Caenorhabditis elegans: one gene and its partners. The protein of the gene in region 2 purifies or fractionates together with the protein of the main gene of each other region. This does not show direct contact. Each region holds a gene or a part of one and is shown on either strand. Other genes may lie near its edges. The genes, in order: iars-1, ant-1.2, nol-56 and ymel-1.

Region 1 (6,629 bases), on a different chromosome or scaffold from region 2:
GATATACATTAGGAGAAATAAGATGGATGAACCAATTGTCCACCCATTCTCTCCATTCCCGCTCTTCTCTGGCAGAAGCCATATTTGCGTCCCCGTCTACTTTTCCCTTCATAACGAAGAATTTGTTAGGGTAGTTGAGAACCTGAATCAGCAAGGATGTTTTAAAATTGCAGAGTAATTCAAAAACCCACTGGCTTTCCTTTCTCGTTTGTTGAATCAACTGCTGGATACATTTGTATTATCTGGTCGAGTGACTGATCGGGTCTTTGAAGATATGTTGCCAATGTGGAAATAATCAAAGTAGACTCGGTCATAGTTGTCTCGCCACTCCTGAGAATTGGAACCTGAAAGAAAATAGATAAAACAACCGGAAATGTGAATGAAAACTTACTTTTTTATAAGTTGTGCTAAACTTGATCTGTGATCTAGTGACTGGATTTACTTCTACAACCTCATAGGAGAATCCGTGATAATCTAAGAAGGCTCGAACCTGTATTTTTGATTAATAGTTTTCATACTTCACACAAGAGTAACGCACCTTGCAACAGAACGGGCAAGTCTCGTATTGATACAATCGGAGCTTCAAGTTTGACTTATCCAGGTGATTAATAACTTTTCGACTGAGGAGGACATCATTCTGCACTTTCTCGGGTTGCTGAACTTGAATTGGGCATGTTCTGAGTTTTGCTGTTTGGATATCGTCCAGCTTTGATCCTCCCCACGAGAATCCAGCCAAAGAAGCAATCTGGACTGTCCGTACACCAAAAAAACGCATCTGAAAACTAAAAAATGAATTTTCAGTTCATTAAAAGAAAACGGGCGGAAAAACACAACGGATCGGTTACATTCATACAAATTTCACTGAAAAAACGCAAGAAATGCGCTTTTTCTCGCGAGAAACCGTTTTCCACTACGGGGAATATCAAATTTAAATCAGCTTCATATTAACTTTCACTTTATTTGTCTGAAAACGGACTGTAATTCATAAAAAAAAATTTTCGGCGAATTAAAAAGACGGGAAATCGTGGCGAGACCCTGCTGAATAAATGCATGCGCCTTTAAAAAATTGTTTTATTTGGAGTTCCCATTTTCCAGTTTTCTTCTTATTTTGATCGGTTTTTCATGCAATTCCGATGTTTTTTGTCATTTAAGTTTGTTGAAAATAACAACTAAATAACATTTCATTTAACTCAAGTACTTATCTGACTGCTTTAGAAGAGGTTCCCATGTTTTTGGTAGTATTTCATTTGTATACATCTCTTTCTACACTGGAATAGTTTATCTCACGCTACTGATGGTGTCAATTTAATGTTTTCTTACTAACTAGATGAAAACTTGGTAAAATTACTCGAAGATGTGCCTTCTAGATACGAAACTATGCCTTAAATTGTCCTTGATAACGTTTCCGTTAACACCACCAATTATTCAAATAAATATATCATATTTTAGTATGACGAATATTTAAAAAATTACTACTTCCATCAAAATTTCGCAATACGCAATAAAGAATGTTGCATCAGATTTCATGTGATTGCGTTGTTATTTATGTTAGTCGCCTAGTGTCTAACTTTCGCATATTTAAAATTTACAGGGTAAAAAATGAGCGGCCTTTCGACCGTTCCCGACAACATCAATTTTGCCAGAGAAGAAGATAAAGTCGCTCAAAAATGGCAAGATGAGAATACTTTCCAACGTTCTGTTGAGTTAGTTTTTTTTTAAATATTCTGGAATTGTTCACATTGAAAAAAAAAACGTTATCTTCAGGCTGTCAAAAGATCGTCCACATTTCACTTTTTATGATGGACCACCTTTCGCTACTGGCCTTCCTCATTATGGTCATATGCTTACCAGCACCATCAAAGACGTTGTTGGTCGCTGGGCTCATCAAAACGGTCACTATGTAGAAAGACGGTTTGGTTGGGATACTCATGGTCTTCCAGTCGAATACGAAATCGATAAGACGCTTGGAATCAGTGGTCCACAAGATGTCATGAAAATGGGAATCGCTAATTACAACAATGAATGCCGAAAGATCGTTATGAGATATTCTGGCGAATGGGAGAAAACAATGGGACGTCTTGGTCGCTGGGTAGACTTCAAGCATGATTACAAGACTCTCTACCCGTGGTTCATGGAGTCTGTATGGTGGGCTTTCAGCGAGTTGCATAAGAAGGGCCTTGTCTACAAAGGTGTAAAAGTTATGCCTTTCTCTACTGCTTGTTCTACTCCACTCTCCAACTTTGAAGCTGGTCAGAATTACAAAGATGTAGTAGATCCAGCAGTATTCGTCGGATTCAAATTACTCGATTGTCCGAATAGGCAGCTAGTTGCATGGACAACAACTCCATGGACACTTCCATCCAATCTAGCTCTAGTTGTTCATCCAGACATGCTGTATGTGGTCACTAAAGATAAAACGACTGGAATCGAATACGTTGTTCTGGAAGAACGTCTCGGAGAGTTGAAAAATGATAATTTGGAAGTTATTGAGAAACTTGCTGGTAGTCAGCTCAAAGATCTCAGGTATGAACCATTGTTCCCATACTTTGCCTATATGCGCGAAGAAAGAAACGCATTCCGGGTATTGAATGACACTTTTGTCACCTCTGACTCTGGTACCGGAGTTGTTCATCAAGCACCATATTTCGGAGAGGTAAGATTCCTTTTTTTCTTTTCTTTTTTTATATAAAAAATACTTTCCAGATCGATTTCCAAGTTTGTGTGGCGAATGGAGTTATCGCTAAAGACCAAAAAATGATCTGTCCAGTTGATGAAAGTGGAAAATACACATCAGAAGTTCCAGATTATCAAGGAGTCTACGTGAAAGATGCTGATAAGTTGATTATCAAGAGACTCAAGGAAATGGGAAATCTTGTCAGACAAGCGGAAGTGAAGCACTCCTATCCATTCTGTTGGCGGTCTGACACTCCACTTCTCTATAAGGCTGTTCCATCCTGGTTCATCAACGTCGAAACCCTGATTCCAAGGCTTCTGGCTAACAATGATGAGACATACTGGGTTCCCGCTTTTGTCAAGGAAAAGAGATTTGCTAACTGGCTTAGAGATGCTCGCGATTGGGCTGTATCGAGAAATCGGTTCTGGGGAACTCCAATCAATTTGTGGGTGAGCGAAGATGGAGAGGAAGTTGTATGTGTTGGAAGTATTGCTGAATTAGAAGAGCTTTCAGGACAAAAAATCACTGATCTTCATAGAGAAAGGTTTGTTAAAAAACATGTTACTATTCATAAAATACGATGACTTTATAAATTAACAGTGCAAATTTCCAGCGTTGATGATGTTACGATCCCATCTCGTTCAGGACGGGGAGTTCTCAAGAGGGTTTCCGAAGTTTTTGATTGTTGGTTTGAATCAGGATCCATGCCATATGCCCAGAATCATTATCCATTTGAGAACCGCAAAATCTTCGAAGACAATTTCCCAGCTGATTTCATCGCTGAAGGAATTGACCAAACCCGTGGGTGGTTTTACACACTTCTAGTTCTGTCAACTGCTTTGTTCAACAAGCCACCATTCAAGGTTCGTACAATTTCAATATTTTAATTTAAATCAAAAATGTTTTCCAGAACCTGATCTGTAACGGACTCGTATTGGCGTCGGATGGAGCAAAAATGTCAAAGAGTAAGAAGAACTATCCCGATCCAATGCTCATTGTTAACAAGTACGGAGCCGATGCTTTGCGTCTTTATCTCATCAACTCTCCTGTGGTTAGAGGAGAAAATTTGAGATTCAGAGAAGAAGGCGTAAGAGATCTTCTCAAGGATGTGTTCCTTCCATGGTTTAATGCCTACAGATTCTTTGTACAAAACGTACAAGCATATGAACATGTAAGTTTATTCATGTTGAAACAATTATGAGATTGAAATATTATCGTTTTTAGGAAACTGGAAATGTGTTTGACATGAACGTTCATGTTGCCAGTGAAAATGTCATGGATCGGTGGATTGAATCCTTTACAAACAGTCTTGTTGCGTTTGTTCGGAAAGAAATGGATAGTTATCGGCTTTATGCTGTTGTTGGACCGCTTACAAAATTCTTTGACACTCTTACAAATATCTACATCAGATTAAATAGAAAGAGAGTCAAGGGAGACAACGGACTTCATGAGCAACATCACGCTTTGGCAGCCCTCGGACGAGTTCTCATTTTGATTGTTAGATTGATGGCTCCTTTCACACCATTCTTCTGCGAGTATATCTGGCTAAATTTGAAGAAAGTCATTGGTTCGACTGAGGAATCAGTTCACTTCCTGATGCTCCCAAAACCGGATGAGAGTCTAATCGACGAGACTGTGGAAAGACGAGTTGAAGTTATGAGAAATGTTATCGACTTGGTTCGTCTTGTTCGCGATCGTGAAGGACTTGCTGTGAAATATCCATTGAAGGAAATGATTGTTATTAACAGAGACAGTCAGTTTTTGGAAGACGTAAAAAGTTTGGAATCATATATTCTTCTTGAGTTGAACGTCAGAAAATTGACCGTTTCACAAGATAAACAGAAATACGGAATCACCCTAAAGGTATTAAAATTTCAAAAAGTTTGTTCAAAATATAATACTTAAAATTACAGGCAGAGCCAAACTTCAAAATTCTGGGTGCTCGTCTCAAGGGAGAACAAAAGAAGGTTGCTGACTACTTGAAGAACCAAATCACTGAATCTGAGTTGGAGAAATTCCTTCTTGAAGGAAAATTGACTGTGCTTGGGCATGAGCTCTCCTCGGAAGAAGTTGCTGTTAGCTACGCGGCTGGAAGTGATCAAGGACATGGATACAAAACTCACTCGGATGCAAAGACCATTGTAATGATTGATACAACTGAAGATGAGTCTCTTATTGAAGAAGGACTCTGCAGAGAAGTGACAAATCGTGTTCAACGTCTTCGCAAACAGGCTAAACTTGTATCTACTGATACTGCTCATGTTCATATTGTTGTTAGTCCAGCTGATTCTCAACTCGCAAAGGTTGTTGCTGCCAAATTGAATGACATTGTATCCGCTACTGGAACACCTATCAAGTTGGGATCACCACCAGCCGCTGCAAAGGCTCCAACTGCCACCAGCAAGAGTGCAATTAAGGATTCAGAAGTTGAGGTAAATTCCGTTTTTGTTGATGTTCTCTAATATTCCTGAACAATTATTTTCAGCTTTGGTTGTTCGCCGAAGGTGACAGTTTCGATGGGATCACTGTTGTTGATGGATCAAAGAAAGTTCGAGTTCATGTGAAAACAGAAAAAGAACACCTGAAGGGATATGCTGATCTTCTATATCACGTATGTTTATCGGGTTTTCCTAGAAATTTAAAATGTTAAATCTGTTTTTGTTTCAGGTTCGCTCTGCTCTTGATCTCTGGAACGGTAAGATTGCCTTGAAGAATGTCGATGGATCGGCGGTCCATCCAACAGTTGACGTGACGTCTCTTGTTGGTCAGACTCTTCAACTCGTACGATAAATTGCTATTACATCTTTAAATTATCCATATCCGGTTCGCATTTTAGTTCCTGGCTTTATTTGAACCCATTTGAACCGCAGTTTTTCTCATATTTGTTTCTTACACTATTTTGTTTGCTGTTAACGTATAATATTTAATTATGAATGTTTAAGGATTTTAATGTAGAAACTTTATTATCAGAGAAATTCAGCTAGCATTTTTACACGCTCTCAGTTTAGCAGGATCAATGTCACTAACGATCTGATGTTCTGTACGTCCCTCTTTCAATTTGATGTTTTTCTTCTTATCTCCTTTCTTCGGTTGTTGTGGTAGATATCCTTTCCCCAATTTTCTGAACTCCTCTACCGCCTTATCAGCAATTGCCACAACATCATCTGCCAAATCAATGTGATCTCTGAGAATATCTCGAATTGGTGCTTCAATAAGAAGCGTAAAGTGTCCAGAAGAAGCGATGCTGCTCGCAATACAATAACGGAGCATGCTCTTCGAGCAAATTGCCTGAGAATTACACTCCCGAATGACATCTCCAGATTTCAGATGGATGGATGCTAAGCTGTTTGGAGTAACATAATCAACCTGAAAATGAAATGCGGTGGTTACTGTAAGTTTAAATTACCTCCAAACGATCTCTATTGTTATATTTGACAAATAATCCCAAGTCAATGAATTGCATTTCAGGAGTTGGACGAACTTTTATGAGAACCTAAAATAAGAAAGTTTTTTTTTTAATTTTTAAAAAGCTGTCTCACAAAGTAATGGTTAACAGGATTTGGAGTGATTCTCTCTAAATCTCTGTCAATTTGGATTTTCTCAACAGTTGTTCGAATATGAAAACACCAGGAAAACATGTTACGTTTCAGTTGTAGATGAATATTCTGAAATTTTCGTTTGCAAACACTCGATTCAGAAATATTAACACCTCAGTTTTCTCTTTCAACTTTTGGTGCAACTCGTCACTAGTGTGGATAACTTTTTCATCGATTGCAGTGATACAATCACCTAGAAATGCTTTTCCAATAAGATGTGATTCAGGAAGGACATGTGTGATCTGAATATGAATTATGTATGGTGTCCCAAAATCAAGATCAAGAGCTCAAGAATTTGAATAAATACTATTTGACAATTACCCGACAATCCTGCTTGTGTACACGAACTCCTATTGGCT
Region 2 (3,168 bases):
TCAAAAGTTTAAAAAGTACTATTAATCGTGATTCACCATGTACATACTACACTCCATCTTAGTGTATTCCATGTTATCAGTTCAAAACCGTCCAAAAATTGACCAACTTGTCCATCACCCAATACAACGTGGCAGCAGTTTCAGTACACTCCCCCTTGTGTCCTATTTACTATATATACGTTTTTCTGGTTTTCACTCATCTAAACCACTTTCTCCTGCTTTTTGTATTAATATTCCTTATTGCAATGCATTACATTTTTTATTTTTGTCATTAGAAACTATAAATTTAATAATACGAATCCAAAAGAATCATAGGCAATTTTCTAAAAGCAGAAATAAATCATCCAGAATTTCTTAATACTTATTCGTTTTTCATTTAATTCCCTTTATTATTATTCTGGTACTTCTTTATCAAAATTGTAAATTTCCAAATTTTCAGAATGTCTGCTGAACAATTTGTGGGTCGTTGGAAGCTTGTCGAATCCGAGAATTTCGAGGATTACCTGAAAGAAGTTGGGGTTGGTCTTCTTCTTCGTAAAGCCGCGTGTGCTGCAAAACCAACTTTAGAGATCAAAGTGAATGGAAACAAGTGGCATGTCAATCAACTTAGCACCTTCAAGAACACCACATTGGAGTTCACTCTGGGAGTGGTAAGTGAAATTTTGAAAAAAGGAAACGAGAATAGAACTCAACAACTATATGGCTTTTTCGTTAGTTATTTTCTTTCCCATTTAAAAACTTTCAAATGCCTTTCTCGAAACTCTAGCAAACACTGATAAGACTCAAACTAGTGGGTCAAAGTGCAGGAAGGTACACGTGGTTTTCAGTGTAAACAAAAAAATGAGAATAAAGAACAACTGAACTTTGTATCCATTTGAACACTACACACAACAAACGGGTGTTCTATTAACATAGATACACTTTGTGGCATGAAGAAATAATCTAATGTTTATGTCTTTCAGAATAGGTCTATGGAAAATTCAATTGCGAACTCTAAACGAACATTTGAAATCAAAAAAAGAATCATATTAAATCTAACAAAATATTTTTTTTTCGAATTAGTTACGATCTTTAAATGTGTCGGCTACATGAAAAACAACTCCCGGTTTTCATTCCATTAAAGTTCAGTTTTTAAATTGACTGTTATAATTTACCATTTAAAAAAATAGTGTTTTTTAGGAATTCGACGAGACAACACCAGACGGTCGTCAATTCAAGTCAACCATCACAATTGAAGATGGAAAAGTAGTTCATGTTCAAAAAAGGATTAAGGATTCAGATCATGATTCTGTAATCACTCGTTGGTTTGAAGGAGAAAAGCTCATCACAACTCTCCAATCTGGATCAGTTATCTCTCGTCGTGCCTATATTCGTGAATAGATTATTTTGAATATTGTTCTTGTTTTGTTCGGTCTTTGATGCAATAAATAGCGAAAAATAGTGTTTTTGTTTACGCAGAGTGACGTTTTAAAGGACCAGAAACCCTTTTCTTTTCTCTGTCTCTGTTAAAAAAGGCCTTGTTTATTTTCCGTAAAATTTTTCATTAGTTTCAACAATTTTTAAAGAAACACTTTTGTTTTAGATTTTTCTTTTTTTTTAAATTAATTTTATTCTTTATATTGATTAGACTTTCATGACCAAAATTTTGAGAAGAGTCTAGTGAGCTCCTTCCTACTCGCATTTGAAGAAAGTTTTATTATCAGCATTCAGGAAATATAATCTCTGAAAAAAAACATTCCAGAAGGACAAAATGACCACAAAGGAAGGATTTGATTATCGAAAGTTTCTTGTTGATCTCGCCTCCGGAGGCACTGCTGCAGCAATCTCAAAAACTGCCGTTGCTCCAATTGAACGTGTAAAGCTTCTACTTCAAGTCAGTGATGTCTCTGAAACAGTAACTGCCGATAAAAAATATAAAGGAATTATGGATGTTCTTGCTAGAGTGCCAAAAGAACAAGGATATGCAGCATTTTGGAGAGGAAACCTTGCAAATGTGCTTCGATATTTTCCAACGCAAGCGCTGAATTTTGCATTCAAAGACACTTATAAGAAGATGTTTCAAGAAGGAATTGACAAGAATAAAGAATTCTGGAAATTCTTTGCTGGAAATCTCGCTTCTGGTGGAGCAGCTGGTGCAACATCTCTATGCTTCGTGTACCCACTGGATTTTGTGCGTACTCGTCTTGGAGCCGATGTTGGAAAAGGAGTGGATAGAGAGTTTCAAGGTCTAACGGATTGTTTTGTGAAAATTGTGAAATCAGATGGACCAATTGGTCTTTATAGAGGATTTTTTGTTTCAGTACAAGGAATTATAATTTATCGTGCAGCATATTTCGGAATGTTTGATACTGCCAAAACATTGTACTCAACTGACGGGCAAAAACTCAATTTCTTTACGACATGGGCAATTGCTCAAGTTGGAACAGTTGGTTCTGGATATTTATCATATCCATGGGATACAGTACGTCGTCGAATGATGATGCAATCAGGGAGAAAGGATATTCTCTATAAAAACACTTTGGATTGTGTTAGAAAGATTGTGAAGAATGAAGGAATTACTGCATTATACAAAGGAGGTCTTTCAAATGTATTCCGAGCAACTGGAGGTGCTCTTGTGCTCACAATTTATGATGAGATTCAACATTTAATTTAATTACAGAATTAAAGTATGTATATGTTAATTTTGAAACAACATTGCCAATAAATTTTTTTGTTTAAAATGCATTTTTACTTTATTTTAAAAAAAAGAAGATTGTTTAAGTTTCACAATTTGAAAATGGGCTTCTATATATGTACAAGATACTAGTTTTTTACCTCAAAAAAAAATAAATTTAAAAAAAATTAAAACTTAGATATACTTTAATCAAAAACGATATTTTCCTCCTCAGAAATTTCAGAATTTTTTTGATAATATTTTTGTTTTTATTCGACTGAAAATTCCTCACTTTTCCTCTTTTCTATTTTTATTTTTCAAAAATGATGCAACGAATCAAAAAATGAATCATTCTTCAAAAAAAAACGAAACGAAAAATAGAGGAGACAGAAATAGAGAAAACGTTTTGAATCTCCGCCCACTCTTGCCCCCTATCATTCCATTTATCAGACCACCTAAATACGAATGATTTCCCAAGGCATTGCCATTCGTTTTCTTGTTGATTTGCAACTTTT
Region 3 (4,631 bases), on a different chromosome or scaffold from region 2:
TTGGCTTCTAGAGATTTTTTCTTCAAAAGTAGTACTATATTCTGAGCTTTTTTGCAAAAACAAAGTTAAAATAAGTTTAGCTTTTTATAATTAAAGTTCTTCTCCATTCTTTTTTTAATGAATAAAACCTGTACCTGTGCAAAAACCGTAACGAGAATTGAGACGAAAATGACAAAAAGCCGGCAATTCATTTTGTGTAGGAAGACCAAAGAAAGAGAATACTGGAAATTAATAATTATTTTGAAAACAGATCTGAAAATAAGACAGTATCAATAAAGGCGACTAATGAAATTATTATTTACTCTCTAAAAGAACGAAAAGGGTTGTTTTCCCGACCTATTATGAGACTGACTGAGTCTCAACTGACGTGTTGTGCATTTTCTAAGCTCCAGTCTTGCTCTCTTGGCCCCGCCCTTCTCGAGATTTTGACGCCGCCCTCTCATTCTTAATACACGGCTTCGCGTAGTGTAGTGAACAGAGCACTTTCGAACATTACTCGCACTGAAGTTTATATGTGAAGTCAATTCTAAAACATTTACGCTGGATTATACAAGTTTATTCATTAAGAAGAAAACAGAGTAACAACAAGATGTAGGGGTCCAACAGTCAACAAAAACAAAATAGTTCAACATGGGGGAGTTACATTCATAAAACAAAAAAGATCAGTGGTGTAGTGATGATGAAGATTACTCGTCTCCAGCCTTGCTCTTCTTCTTCTTCTTTGGCTTTGGAGCATCCTCGTCAACCTCAGCTTCAGCAGTTGCAGTGACAGACTCTTCAGCAAGACGCTTGGCTTTCTTGGCAGCCTTCTTCTTCTTTTTGATGACCTGAAATACAATTTTTAATTGATTGTTTCCTTAAAAGATAGATCATGAGTTTAAAATGAGAGAAACCCAGCTAAAAATTCTTCAATGGATAATTATATCGCATGCAAGCTAAACGGCCGAATTAAAACAATTTGCCCGCATTAAATACATGCTAAATAGGAAATTTGCGCAAAACTGTACCTTCTCCTTAACCTCAACGGCAGCTTCCTCGGCCTCCTTCATGACGTCAATGTTTTTCTTTGGAACAGTTCCGGAGGTGAAATACTCAAGTCTATCCTCAACCTGTTGGCGAAGGAATTCTCCATATGTCGAAACTGGAGTCTCGGAGAAGCAATCCACACGAGCAGCAATGGAGCACTTGTTAGCAAGATATCTGGACACACGACCCTTGTTCTTGGTTCCAGCTTTTCCAATGAAGCTGGAGTGGAAGAGAAGTCCATACTTTGGAGTGTTGGCTGAAAATGTACCAATTTCAGAAAAATCATAGACTCGAATATGACCGAGTGCAGCGAATAAAATCTTCAATAGAAAATAATTTTGCATGCAAGCTAAACGGCTGAACTAAAATCATCCACCCGCATTAAATACATGCCATCAATTAATGATACATTTTTCATGACTTACATCTGGTCTTCAAGGCACGGAAAAGAGCCTTCTCTGCTCCGAGGATTTGGACAGTGGACGCTGGATACTTGGCCAAGTTGGTCAGCGAACCAGCATGCGAGATCAAGCGAGCACCAACTTGTTCTCCGATAAGAGCACTGAGAGAAGGAGCACAGTGGTCCATACGATCTTTAATGTACTCGTGAAGTTGTTGTCTATACTCCATGAGAGAAGAGACACGAGCGGCGAATCTCTTGATGTTCTCAAGATCGAGATCGGAAATATCCATTCCCATTGATGTTCTGGCCGCTTCGATGATCTGAGCGGTTTTCTCGGAATCATTGTCAAGAATTTCTGAAAAAGGAAAGAATATTTGTGGGACACACAAAGTGACCGAAAACATCAAAACATTCTCGGTGTCTGGTTGTCTCTATGCTTTACCTCTCATTTTACTAGTGAACTTAACAAAATGCTAGTCCCCCGGCTTATAAGAGAGGTTACCCAAAATCTACATTTTGAACTATAATACTTACCAAGAATCTCATTCTCGAGGTTCTCATTTTCAGCCATCTTGTTTCTGTCCAAGATAGCGACAGCAAGGCGAGAGTACTTGTATTGATCTGGAGCCAGACGGAAGAGCTCTGGATAATGGTAAGAGTACCATTCACGGATTCTCATTCCAAAAAGATTGATATCCTTGTCCAACTGATCGAGAAGGGCAATCGATTGAATAACCATGTTGTCCACACGATGCACATCGAATTTGACCTATCAAAAAACATTTAGAGAAAAAAGCGCGATCGAGGTACGCACCTTCGAACGAGAGTAACTATGACCGAGAGAAAGCTGAGCTTTCGATAAGGAGTGATGTGGGAGATTTTTGGCCAAACGCTCGAAATGAACACGAGTACCACGCAGAATCTAAACTCAAAATATGTGTTTTCGTCATCGGTAACAGATTCAGGTAAACTCCAAAGAGTTTATTGTGAATCTTCACGTTACCTCGGTGATAACACCTCCGAAGACAAGCTTCAGATCTGGGAACGCTTCAGTAAGCGAACCCGCAAGCTTCGAGTCATTGATTCCAAGCACAACGTGTTTTTTCTTTTTTGGAAGCGACTTTTGAAGAAAATTAGTGAGATCAGGGTGGGCGAGACCTAATAATTAAAATAATTACTCCCCATCAAAACTTATCGGTCTTTGTTACCTTCAGAGATGGAGTTGCAGTTTTCCAATGCAGCTTCGGTGTTTTTGAACGGATCAAACGAAGCAAGCTCAACGATTTGCGAGAACTTGTATCCATCAGCATGAGCGGCATCGACCTGAAAATGCGTTAATTTAAGCACTAAACTGTGGGACATACGAAGTGACCGAATATATCACAACATAATCGGTGTCTGGATGTCTCTATAATTTTCCTCGCGTTTTACTAGTGAACTCAGCAAAGGCTAGTCCCCCGGCTTATAAGCGAGGATATTTTAAAAATACTTTTTTCGAGCGAACGTACCTCTTGGAGGATAAGACCAGCATCATCAAACTCCTTAATCTTCATGAGAGCGTATCCAGCTGCATGCTCATAGAGCACGAAGTGGGGAACTTCCGACATGGTGTAAGAACCTGAAAAATCATTTATTCAAGAAAACCAAAAAGGGTGCAAAAACTGTGAGACTTTAAGTAAAGAAGAATTGATAGAACATTAATGTAATTGTTTATAAATACATCTTTCCTTATCATTCCAGTAATAAATAAATAAATAAAAACCGAAATTGGATCGATAAGTATCAAAAATAGGCCGGAGAAAAAATAAGGACGAATCAAAAAGACGACGGCGTACCTCTTTCGCTGCGAGACCTATTCGCAAAAGAGTGTGTGCCTTTACTACTCGTGAACTCCACTCGGACAAAATAATGGCAGTGGAGAAAATTACGCCAGTAAAACGTTTTATTAGAAATTTCTATAGAAATGAAAAAAGACGAACGAAATATTATCGGGAAAAATCGAAATTTTTCTAGCCGTTCACCAGAATCGATGTGCTTAGAATTTATTTTCAGAATGTAAATAAATCCAGATCAAGAAAACATGACGTGGAGGTTTTTGAATGAACGAATATACTGAAGCACGTATTTAAAAATTATTTAACACGAAGTTGGGCGCAGACGTTCGAAAATGAATTATTGAATAAGGGCATTTTGTAAAATCGGAATTAAAAAAATAATGGTGATCATGAATTGAATAATTTATTGAATAGACTGAATACAAATGTTTCAACAAACAACAATAAAGAGAAAAAACTACGGAGACGACTTCAAATAATTACTTGGTGTGTTTCTTCTCAAATTTGGAATTCATGTAGGCTGCCATCGGATCAGCAGAATGAACACTTGTCACACGATAAGCCTCCATTTCTTTTTCGTTCGGTGCAGTGTTGGAGTAGTCAGTGTTGTATTTACGGCCGCGATCACCCTGAACAAAGTATTTTATATTTTGAATTTTCAAGGAATATAATAGTACTAAGCGACCCGGATAAAATTAGTATTGGTAATCTTACCTCTCTTGCAGCTTTCATTCCTTCGGCCTTTTCCCGTTTCGCCTTCTTCATAGCTTTACGCATTTCTTCATCAGAATCAGATTCTGAACCACTTCCCGACGAAGGATCGCTTTCATCGTCCGAATCGCGATGACGCCTCTTTCTTTTCCCCAGCTTTGCCTTCTTGCGTTCACGCTTTTCACGTTTTTTATCACGACGCCGCTGGTCCCGTTCTCTTCGTTCTTTTTCAATTAACCTTTCCTTCTCGCGTTCTTTTTCTTTTTCTTCATCGTCACTTGGTGGTGATGGTGATATGGACTTCTCTGATACTTTTTCCTTTTCTTCGTCATTATCATTATCACTGTTTTCTTCTGCTACTTCATCCTTGATGGAATCTTCCTTCTCTTTTTCTTCTTTAACTTCAGTCTTCTCTACTAACTTCGGAACTTTGAAAATTTCTTCGTTTGAGGTCGTTGTACCTTTTGCTGCGCTCGTTTCAGCTTCAATTCCCTGCTTTCCCGTACAATATGAGTTCTTGACGAATTGATGACAGCACTTATATCCCCACCGACCCTCTCTCCAGAAACTTCCGAACACTGATGTATGATTTTGGGGATATATATCTTCTTTGAAGCGAGAGCTAATTGCTACTTTTTCCTTTCCCTTGATAACTT
Region 4 (7,959 bases), on a different chromosome or scaffold from region 2:
TTTAAAAACAATTTTTAATTGTAGAAATATTAGCTTTAGGTTCCGCCCAGAAAGTGGTCGTCGACTTCGCCCCCTTCTAACCCACATTTTCTCTATTCCAGAATCCACTCGAATTATCCAATCACTGCTCACTGTGCTCCACCGTTTTCCTGTGCCAATTGTTCCGGATTTTGCCACATTTCGCCGAGAATTCCCTCATTTTTCGGCTAACGATTTCGACACGTGGCGTCTTTTTGTCGGCGCCGACAATTTTGATGGGCTCTTTTTGTTCACGGAGAGCAGTGATGACGTCACTCGGTGCCACGTCATCTCGGAGAACAGCTCAATTTGTGAAATGTTTTTGAGACTTCTGAATGAGAAGTGCCAATAAATTAATTTTCTTTTTTTCAAATTGTTTTCTAGAATCCAAAAACACATTTATATTCAACAGATCCGTACATCTAGAAAGCTACAACCACAGAGGAGAAAGAGAGGATGAAACCGGAAATTTTGTGGTCTCACAGCGATCGAGACACAAAATTCTCAGGGGACTATGAGAAGAGAGTTGAGAACCTACAAGGAAAATTGGTACAAAATCGAGAAAACCGGAGAAAAAACGGGAAAAAATTGGGGAAAGAGAAGAATGCTAAATAGGTGAATGAATACCTGTAGACGAGAAGATGGAAGAAAAATAGGAAAAAAATCACTCAATTTACACGAAAACTTCGATTTTCTAAGATTTTCGAGCGAACTTAAACTGAAATAAAATCAGAAAAAGGAGGAAAAAGTACAGAACTTAGAATATTTAAAGAAAAAAAAAGAAGAAATTATTGCTTTCCACGGCCTTCTTCCTCGAATAAATGAAGAACAAGCGACGGTTGATTTCGTTTTGTTTCATTACTTTTCTTCACTGCCGCCGGTGTTGGTCGCTTGATTTTCTGTCCACTGATAACACGTTTCACCTCGTCAGCTGAGAGAGTTTCGTATTCGAGAAGAGCTTCCGCGAGCAGTTGATGCTCTTTCTGCAAAAAATCGGAAATTTTGAGAATTTTTGAAGGAATCTTTTTAAATTAATTTTTTAACAAAAAAAGCTGACGTCGTATTTTTCAAGTTTTTAGCAACATTTTTGTTTTAGTTTTAAAAAATCTGGAAAATTAGAAAATTCCAAAAAAAAAACCTTCTTGGTTTCCAAAATGACTTTAGCCCTTTTATAGCTCTCCTGTAGTACACGATTAATCTCTGCATCAATTAGTTCGGCTGTTTGTGGTGCCAAATCCGACACTTTTACCAGTGCACTTTCATTGTCTTGGGCAGTGAAATCACGGAGTCCGACCTGGAATTTTAAATTTAAAATATAGAAAATTTTTAGCGGGAAATTAGAATTTAGTTTTTAAAAACTTCTGGTGGGATATTCAAATTTTTAAAGAAAATTGTTGGCGACAGCTTCAAAAATAAAAAAAAAATTGCGGGAAATTTTAATTGTTTTTTTTTTCGGAGAGATATTCAAATTCACTGAAACAATTTTTAGCGAAAAAAAATTGCGAGAAATTTGAATATTTTGAAAAAATTATGGCAGGAAATTCAAATTTTCCGAAAAAAAATTTTGCGCCAAGCTCATATTTCCTAAGAAAAAAGTATTCCCAAGCCCCCTTCTCACCTTATCACTCATTCCAAAAACCTTAACCATCTGCACCGCCAACTGAGTGGCCTTACTCAAATCATCCGCAGCACCAGTGGTGACCTTATCATCTCCAAAGATGAGCTCTTCAGCCACCCGACCGCCCATCATCACATCCAACGTAGCAAGCATTTGTGCTTTAGTCAACTGATAACTATCCTTTTCAGGAAGCATTGCAGTGTGTCCGAGAGATTGTCCACGTGGAATAATAGTTACTTTATGCAGAGGTGTAGCATCTTTTGTGTACAAAGACACCAGAGTATGACCTGCTTCATGATAAGCTGTATTTCTATTTGCTTCTTCATCAGGAATCCTTCCTCCAGTACGTGCCGGTCCCATCAGTACTCGATCCCTTGCTTCATCTAAATAGGCCATCGTAACCTCCACAGCATTATCAGTCGCCGCTTTCAATGCCGCCTGATTCACCATATTCTCAATGTCGGCTCCAGTGAATCCTGTCGATCCCTTCGCCAGAACTTTAGGATCAATTCCACCGGAATGCACGATTTTTGAGAGATAAAAGTTGAAAATGTCCACACGCCCAGCGAGATCAGGTTTTGGAACTGTGACACGAACATCGAAGCGTCCGGGTCGGAGAAGGGCCTTGTCGAGGTCGTCGACACGATTTGTTGCGGCAATTACAATGATTCCCTCGTTACGGGTGAAGCCATCCATTTCACTGAAAACATCAGGAGATGAGTTTTTAATGCACAAAATTGAGCAAATTGTTACCTGAGAAGTTGATTAATCGTTTGATTTGCATATGGATGGATGGAATTCGAAACACGTTTTGAGCCAACTGAATCGATTTCGTCGATGAAAATGATGCATGGAGCACTGAAAAATATAAATCTTGGATTTTTTTCGGGGCTTTTACTTAATTTTACGAAATTTTTTTTTGTCAAAGTTTTAGCGAATATCATACAAATCGATAATTCCGAGAGGGCAACAAAATTGAATTTTAATTTTAAAATAAACATTAAATTTTGGCCAATTTAAGAAAACTAATGGTTAAAAAAAACAAAAATTTTGTAAAATGTCTCCAAAATAGCCTGCTCACCGAGCCTTAGCCTTATCGAAAAGATCCCTAACACGACGGGCTCCCTGTCCAACAAGTACTTCATCAAATTCTGATCCAGCAGTATGGAAGAATGGAACCTGTGCTTCACCGGCTATTGCTCTCGCGAGCAACGTTTTTCCGGTTCCGGGGGGTCCGACGAGTAGGACACCTTTCGGTAATCGACCACCAAGTCTTGAGTATTTTTCTGGATCTTTCAGGTAATCCACGATCTCCTCCACTTCCAATTTCGCTTCGTCCATCTGGAAATTGAAAAAATATTGAAAAAAATTCTTAGAACACTTTAAGTTTGATACAATTATCTTAAAGTTTTTTTTTTCAAAAGTCAAAAAATCAAAAAAAAAAAAGTTTAAATTTTTTTTTTAATTTTAAAGGTTTTTTTTCCAAAAAATTCGGCAAAATAAACATTTTTGCAATTTTTCGAATTTCAGAAAAAAATTTAAGGGTTTTTTCAATGATTTCGTGTCGTTTTTTAAATGAAACAAATCGCAAATTTCGGTAAATTTTTCCAAAAAACTCACTCCTCTAACATCATCGAAAGTAACTTGAACATCCTCTGGATTGACTTCTTGTGGATTCGAGAAGAACAATGAACCAATTTGTCGATCGCCTACACGCACACGAATTCCTTTATTTAGGAGATCAATTCATAAACTTTTTAATTTTTTTTTGAAAAAAAAAAAATTTTCTTCTAAAATGTTCAAGATATGCAGTTTTTGAAAAGTTTTACAAAATTTCCAAAACAATTTTTAAAAACCGATTTTTAGACTTGAAATAAAACATTTTTAAAAATTAAATATTATAGAATATTTAGTTAATTTTAGAAATAAATACGAATTTTCAAAACCTGGAAATTGTATTTTTAATTTTTAATTCCTAAATTTAAAAAAAAAACTTTTTTCCAAAACTTTTCAAATATGCAGTTTTGAAAAATTTCGGACGTTTTCAGCAATTTTTTCGAAATTCTAAACAAAATTCAACAATTTTGAAGCGAAATGTGTTTTTTTTTTAATTTTAAATTTTTAAAATTCAGGAGAAAAAATGTCTAAAAATTTAATGTTTCAAGGAAAAAAAAATTTTTTTTTCAATTTTTCACTATAAATTCTCGAAATAAAACGCACTTCCAGTCAAATATCCGAAAAAGATGCAAAAAACAAGAAAAATGTAGAACCGCGTGAGCGTATTCGATTTTTTCCCATCTTTTCCAGCTCCCGAAACACCATTTGACAATAATCCCTTAACAAATCCATCAGTATATGTTCTCTGTTGATTTTCTGGTAATTTCTTGAGATCCGACTCATATTGATTCCATTTTTCAACTCCTCCTTCTGACGTTTTTTGCTTTTTTCCAGCGAGAAGCTCTGAGAAATAGGTTAACGGAGATTTCACTTCATCTTGTGTCGGTTTTCCGGCATTTCCGACTCCGAATGTCTGTTTTCGAGTACGAAATCCGCGGCGTTGGATATCTGAGACAATTGGAATTTTTTGAAAAATGTAAAAAAAATTATCGTATTTTTTATTTTAAAAATACCAATAAAATACCAGTATCTAGAGGTTTTTTTTGTAAAATTTCCTATAAATTTTAATTAAAATTAGTGGAAAAAATTCAGAAAAAGGAAATTTTTAAAAACAATTTTTAACGAAAAAAAGTAGATTTTTTAAAAATAATTTTAGGAAATATTTAGAAAATGCTTGTAATAAATTTTCATAAAATAAAAAAAAATTGGAAAAAAACCTACTTCCAAACAATATTTTATATATTTTTGAAATTAAAATAAATAAAAAATTTTATTTCAAAAAAATTAACATAAATATTGATTTGAAGTTGGTTTTTTAAAATGAAAATTTTTGTTTTGTTTTTCAATTATTTTTATATTATTCTATGAAAATTTCCTAAAATAATGAAAAATCTAACTAATAAAAAATTGTTTTAAAATATTCAAGTTTTCGATAAAATTTTCCTTTTTTGTAAAAATTGTGAAAATTTTAAAAAAAACCTATTTTAGATCAAAAAATAAGTTTTTTTGCAATTTTTTTAAAGTTTCAAACTTTTTTCTGAATTTTTTCTTATTTTACAAAAAGGAGCAAAATTTCCACGCAGCTTAAACTTACAAAACGAAGAGCTCGCCGGAATTATCCGAACGACAGCATCATCATAATTCAGCGAAATTTCAGATTTTCTAGCGATCCGCCTTGAAAGCGTACTATCTCTGAGAATATTATTCATTTGATTGATTGTAACAGGTGAAGAAGTATCAGAACTGAATTGTCTCCAAACTTGATGATATACTCTTGAAAGTGATGCTGCTGTTGCTTCAATATCCAACGGTTTCCTATTGATTCCTGGAAATTTGGATTTTTTGAAAATTATTACAGGAACACAAAATTCTGAGAATGAGTATTGGGCAACGTAAAAAATCTCGAAGCGAAAACTACAGTAATTCTTCAAGTGAAAACTGTAGTGCTTGTGTCGATTTTTTTGCTTAATTTTAATATTCTATCGATAAAAAAAATGATTTTAAGAATCGAGCCCGTAAATCGACACAAACGCTACAGTAGTCATTTAAAGAATTACTGTAGTTTTCGCACGATATTATTTGCGCGTCGAATATGTTGTGTGATACGCATTCTCAGAATATTGTGCTCCCGTAATATGTAGTTTTTGAATATATTGTGCTAATTTTTTAAACTTTATTTTCTAATTACCATACTAAATGTCTTAATATTAAAAAAAAGCGTATATTGCTTTCTGCAAGCTTTTTAATTTATAAAGAACAATTTTAATTTCATTTTAAATTGATTGTTTTTCGCCCGGCTAAATAATAATTTCTGATTCAAACAAATTGTTGAAAACTGAATACCTAAATGTTGCCAGCTAAAACATCAAAATCTAAGCATTTTCAGACCAAGAAATAGTTTTTTTTTTCATTTTTAGCTCAAAATCCCGTTGAAATTTTTTTTTCAAAAAGTACAATGTCATGTAAAAATCGACATTTTTCTTAAAATAAAATAAGTACGACATAATTATTGAAACAGAATTGTTAACAATTTTTTTAAATTTAAACTACATTTTTGCCTAATTTTTTACCAAATTTTGAAAATCATAAATTTCAAAAAATGAAATATTTTCAGCCGGATTAAAAAGAATTCCAGATCACCTAAAAATCGATCTTCTCCTCTATTTTTAAAAACTTTAAAAACAAACCATTTCGACTATTTCTGAGCAGTCCCGTATTCTGGAGCAAACCGCCAATGTTCAAATTGATCGCCGACTGCATAAGCTTTTTCTTCTGGAATTTTCAGAGAATACAAAAATTTATATTTCTATATATCTATAGAAAAAGATTTTCCGAGATTTCAGAGAAAAATAGTTACTACTGATAGGCGCAGTGACTAACTTCAGTTAGCCAGGAGCGAGAGTCCAGTGGAGCGCGTTTGCAATTTCCATGATGCAAACCGCGACGCCGCCGCCTCGTGTCAGGCAAAAATATTTCGGTTTCAGGTGACCTTTTTTCTTCGTTTGTATGCAATTTTTGTTGGCTAAATAAAACCGGCATTTTTCTTTCAAATGATGAGAAATAATATGGTAGTAATAATAATAATAATGAAAAAAAATGCGCACAAAAATTTGGGAATTTTTAGTCGTTACAAATTGAGAATGAGATGGCTCAGCAGGAAGAGGAGAAGGAAAAGGTTCTAGTTGTGATAATATTTAAATATATATATATAAAATAAGTGAGGTACCGAAAAAAAAACATTGAACAACAAATCAACAGCGGATAATTGGGTGGGAAAATGAATTAGAGGCTTGTTTTATGGGAAATTACGGGGACCGGGTGATGATATTTGTGACGTGGCAGAAGAATTTTGGGGAAAATGTGCAATTTTTCGGGTTGGGAATTTGAATTTTTCTTAATTTTGAGACTCAAAAAAGTGAGAAAAATTAAGAAAAAAAGGTTTTTTTTTCTCAATTTTTGTTCCAAATTTCAGACATTTTTGGGTTGGAAAAAATCCAAAAATTCTCCCAAAAACTGCCAGTTTTCTTCCAAAAAAAATCTGCAAAAAACTATGAAATTTTCTAATTTTACAGTAATGTAGGCAAAGTGCTACACTCAAAAAAAAAACAAAAATTAATTTTAAAAAACGAGAGATCGTCGTAATGGAAAAAATGGGGAAAAAACGAAAAAGTGCGAAATGAGATGTGACAGAGATTCATGTTTAGGATGGGATGGGATTCTGGAGAAAATGAAGATGAAGAAGCTTTCGAAATGAGAAATAAATTTGAATTTTGACATGGAAAACGCGAGAAAAATCAAAATTCGGCATTTCAAGAATTTTTGAATTAAAAAAATTTTTTTTCAGGGGGAAAAACCTGCTAAAAATGTACAAGTTTCTAGATTTTTCATAGGAAATCTGAATTTTTTGGCGTTAAAAAACACTGGAAATTACCAAATTAAATCTCAATTTACGTCAAAAATGGAGATTTCAGTAATTTTATCCAGAATTTTGTATATTTTTAGAGGAAAAAATGCGCATTATTCAAGATTTTTTGAGAACTTTTTTGGCGTGTTTTCCCTTTAAAAACTGTAAATTAAATGCTAAAATCTTGATATTTTTTCGTCGAAAAATTTGCAATTTTAGGAATATTTCACAATTTTCAATTTCAAAATTTCCAAATTCAAAAGCTGCTTCAGAAAAAAAAAAGAAAAAATGGGGAAAAATGACACTATTTGCTGGTTAACTCGGTATTGATGGTGGATTTCTTTCGATGATTATTGAGAAAATCGCGTTGCTCAAATGGTTTCTCGACAGAAGCAAAACGACGCCTTGACACAACTGCAGCATCCAATTCAAATTGATTCATATCAAATGGTGGATATTGATTGCCGTCTTCGTCGTCTTCAACTTCTCCGGCATTTGGTACTGCGAATGATGAGCTGTGTGCTGGTGTGGCGGCCGCCGATTTTTGAGCTGGTTGACGATTTCTTATTCGTTTGTCCGTTTCTCTCTGAAAAATGTGAATTTATTTGTGATTTTTTAACTTTAAAACATCAAAATTTCCCATAATCTCAGAAGTTTAAAAATCTTTTTTGAGAAAACCCACGAAACTACACAATAAAGATGTCCTAAAATATAAAAATTGATCAGTTTTTCTTCATTTTTTTCTAATTATCGATTTTCAGACATTCCGCAAAATTTTTGGCGATTTTTTTTAGAGTTTTAC

Evidence for each region.
Region 1: the proteins of ant-1.2 (region 2) and iars-1 fractionate together in Caenorhabditis elegans (co-fractionation; one large-scale study listed by BioGRID). This does not show direct contact.
Region 3: the proteins of ant-1.2 (region 2) and nol-56 fractionate together in Caenorhabditis elegans (co-fractionation; one large-scale study listed by BioGRID). This does not show direct contact.
Region 4: the proteins of ant-1.2 (region 2) and ymel-1 fractionate together in Caenorhabditis elegans (co-fractionation; one large-scale study listed by BioGRID). This does not show direct contact.

The regions. Positions count from the first base shown.
Region 1 is NC_003282.8:10,367,016-10,373,644, forward strand, and holds iars-1 (Isoleucine--tRNA ligase, cytoplasmic), read left to right. Parts: upstream 1-1,591; 5' UTR 1,592-1,599; coding exon 1,600-1,703; intron 1,704-1,764; coding exon 1,765-2,653; intron 2,654-2,703; coding exon 2,704-3,218; intron 3,219-3,287; coding exon 3,288-3,537; intron 3,538-3,584; coding exon 3,585-3,845; intron 3,846-3,898; coding exon 3,899-4,537; intron 4,538-4,587; coding exon 4,588-5,106; intron 5,107-5,159; coding exon 5,160-5,285; intron 5,286-5,341; coding exon 5,342-5,464; 3' UTR 5,465-5,622; exon of another isoform or gene 5,623-5,650; coding exon of another isoform or gene 5,651-6,040; intron 6,041-6,080; downstream 6,081-6,629. Other genes in the region: pges-2 (Prostaglandin E synthase 2), read right to left, coding at 1-142, 192-344, 392-490, 539-775; mpz-5 (PDZ domain-containing protein), read right to left, coding at 5,651-6,040, 6,081-6,167, 6,214-6,339, 6,384-6,512, 6,592-6,629.
Region 2 is NC_003279.8:6,729,542-6,732,709, reverse strand, and holds ant-1.2 (ADP/ATP translocase), read left to right. Parts: upstream 1-1,750; coding exon 1,751-2,653; downstream 2,654-3,168. Other genes in the region: lbp-5 (Fatty acid-binding protein homolog 5), read left to right, coding at 441-650, 1,180-1,380.
Region 3 is NC_003283.11:10,349,932-10,354,562, forward strand, and holds nol-56 (Nucleolar protein 56), read right to left. Parts: upstream 3,048-4,631; 5' UTR 3,037-3,047; coding exon 2,938-3,036; intron 2,906-2,937; exon of another isoform or gene 2,779-2,905; intron 2,753-2,778; coding exon 2,638-2,752; intron 2,588-2,637; coding exon 2,433-2,587; intron 2,352-2,432; coding exon 2,244-2,351; intron 2,199-2,243; coding exon 1,964-2,198; intron 1,932-1,963; exon of another isoform or gene 1,802-1,931; intron 1,785-1,801; coding exon 1,452-1,784; intron 1,423-1,451; exon of another isoform or gene 1,287-1,422; intron 1,283-1,286; coding exon 1,008-1,282; intron 982-1,007; exon of another isoform or gene 849-981; intron 828-848; coding exon 687-827; 3' UTR 540-686; downstream 1-539. Other genes in the region: nssp-62 (Neuropeptide-Like Protein), read right to left, coding at 135-191; sluh-7 (Pre-mRNA-splicing factor SLU7), read right to left, coding at 3,744-3,893, 3,979-4,631. UniProt on the Caenorhabditis elegans protein: Required for 60S ribosomal subunit synthesis.
Region 4 is NC_003281.10:10,414,205-10,422,163, reverse strand, and holds ymel-1 (ATP-dependent zinc metalloprotease YME1 homolog), read right to left. Parts: upstream 6,026-7,959; 5' UTR 6,014-6,025; coding exon 5,941-6,013; intron 5,079-5,940; coding exon 4,848-5,078; intron 4,202-4,847; coding exon 3,857-4,201; intron 3,364-3,856; coding exon 3,257-3,363; intron 2,978-3,256; coding exon 2,718-2,977; intron 2,495-2,717; coding exon 2,390-2,494; intron 2,337-2,389; coding exon 1,637-2,336; intron 1,313-1,636; coding exon 1,157-1,312; intron 1,002-1,156; coding exon 807-1,001; 3' UTR 405-806; downstream 1-404. Other genes in the region: M03C11.6 (BBS2_C domain-containing protein), read left to right, coding at 102-370; M03C11.3 (PH domain-containing protein), read right to left, coding at 7,462-7,743. UniProt on the Caenorhabditis elegans protein: ATP-dependent metalloprotease that catalyzes the degradation of folded and unfolded proteins with a suitable degron sequence in the mitochondrial intermembrane region. Plays an important role in regulating mitochondrial morphology and function.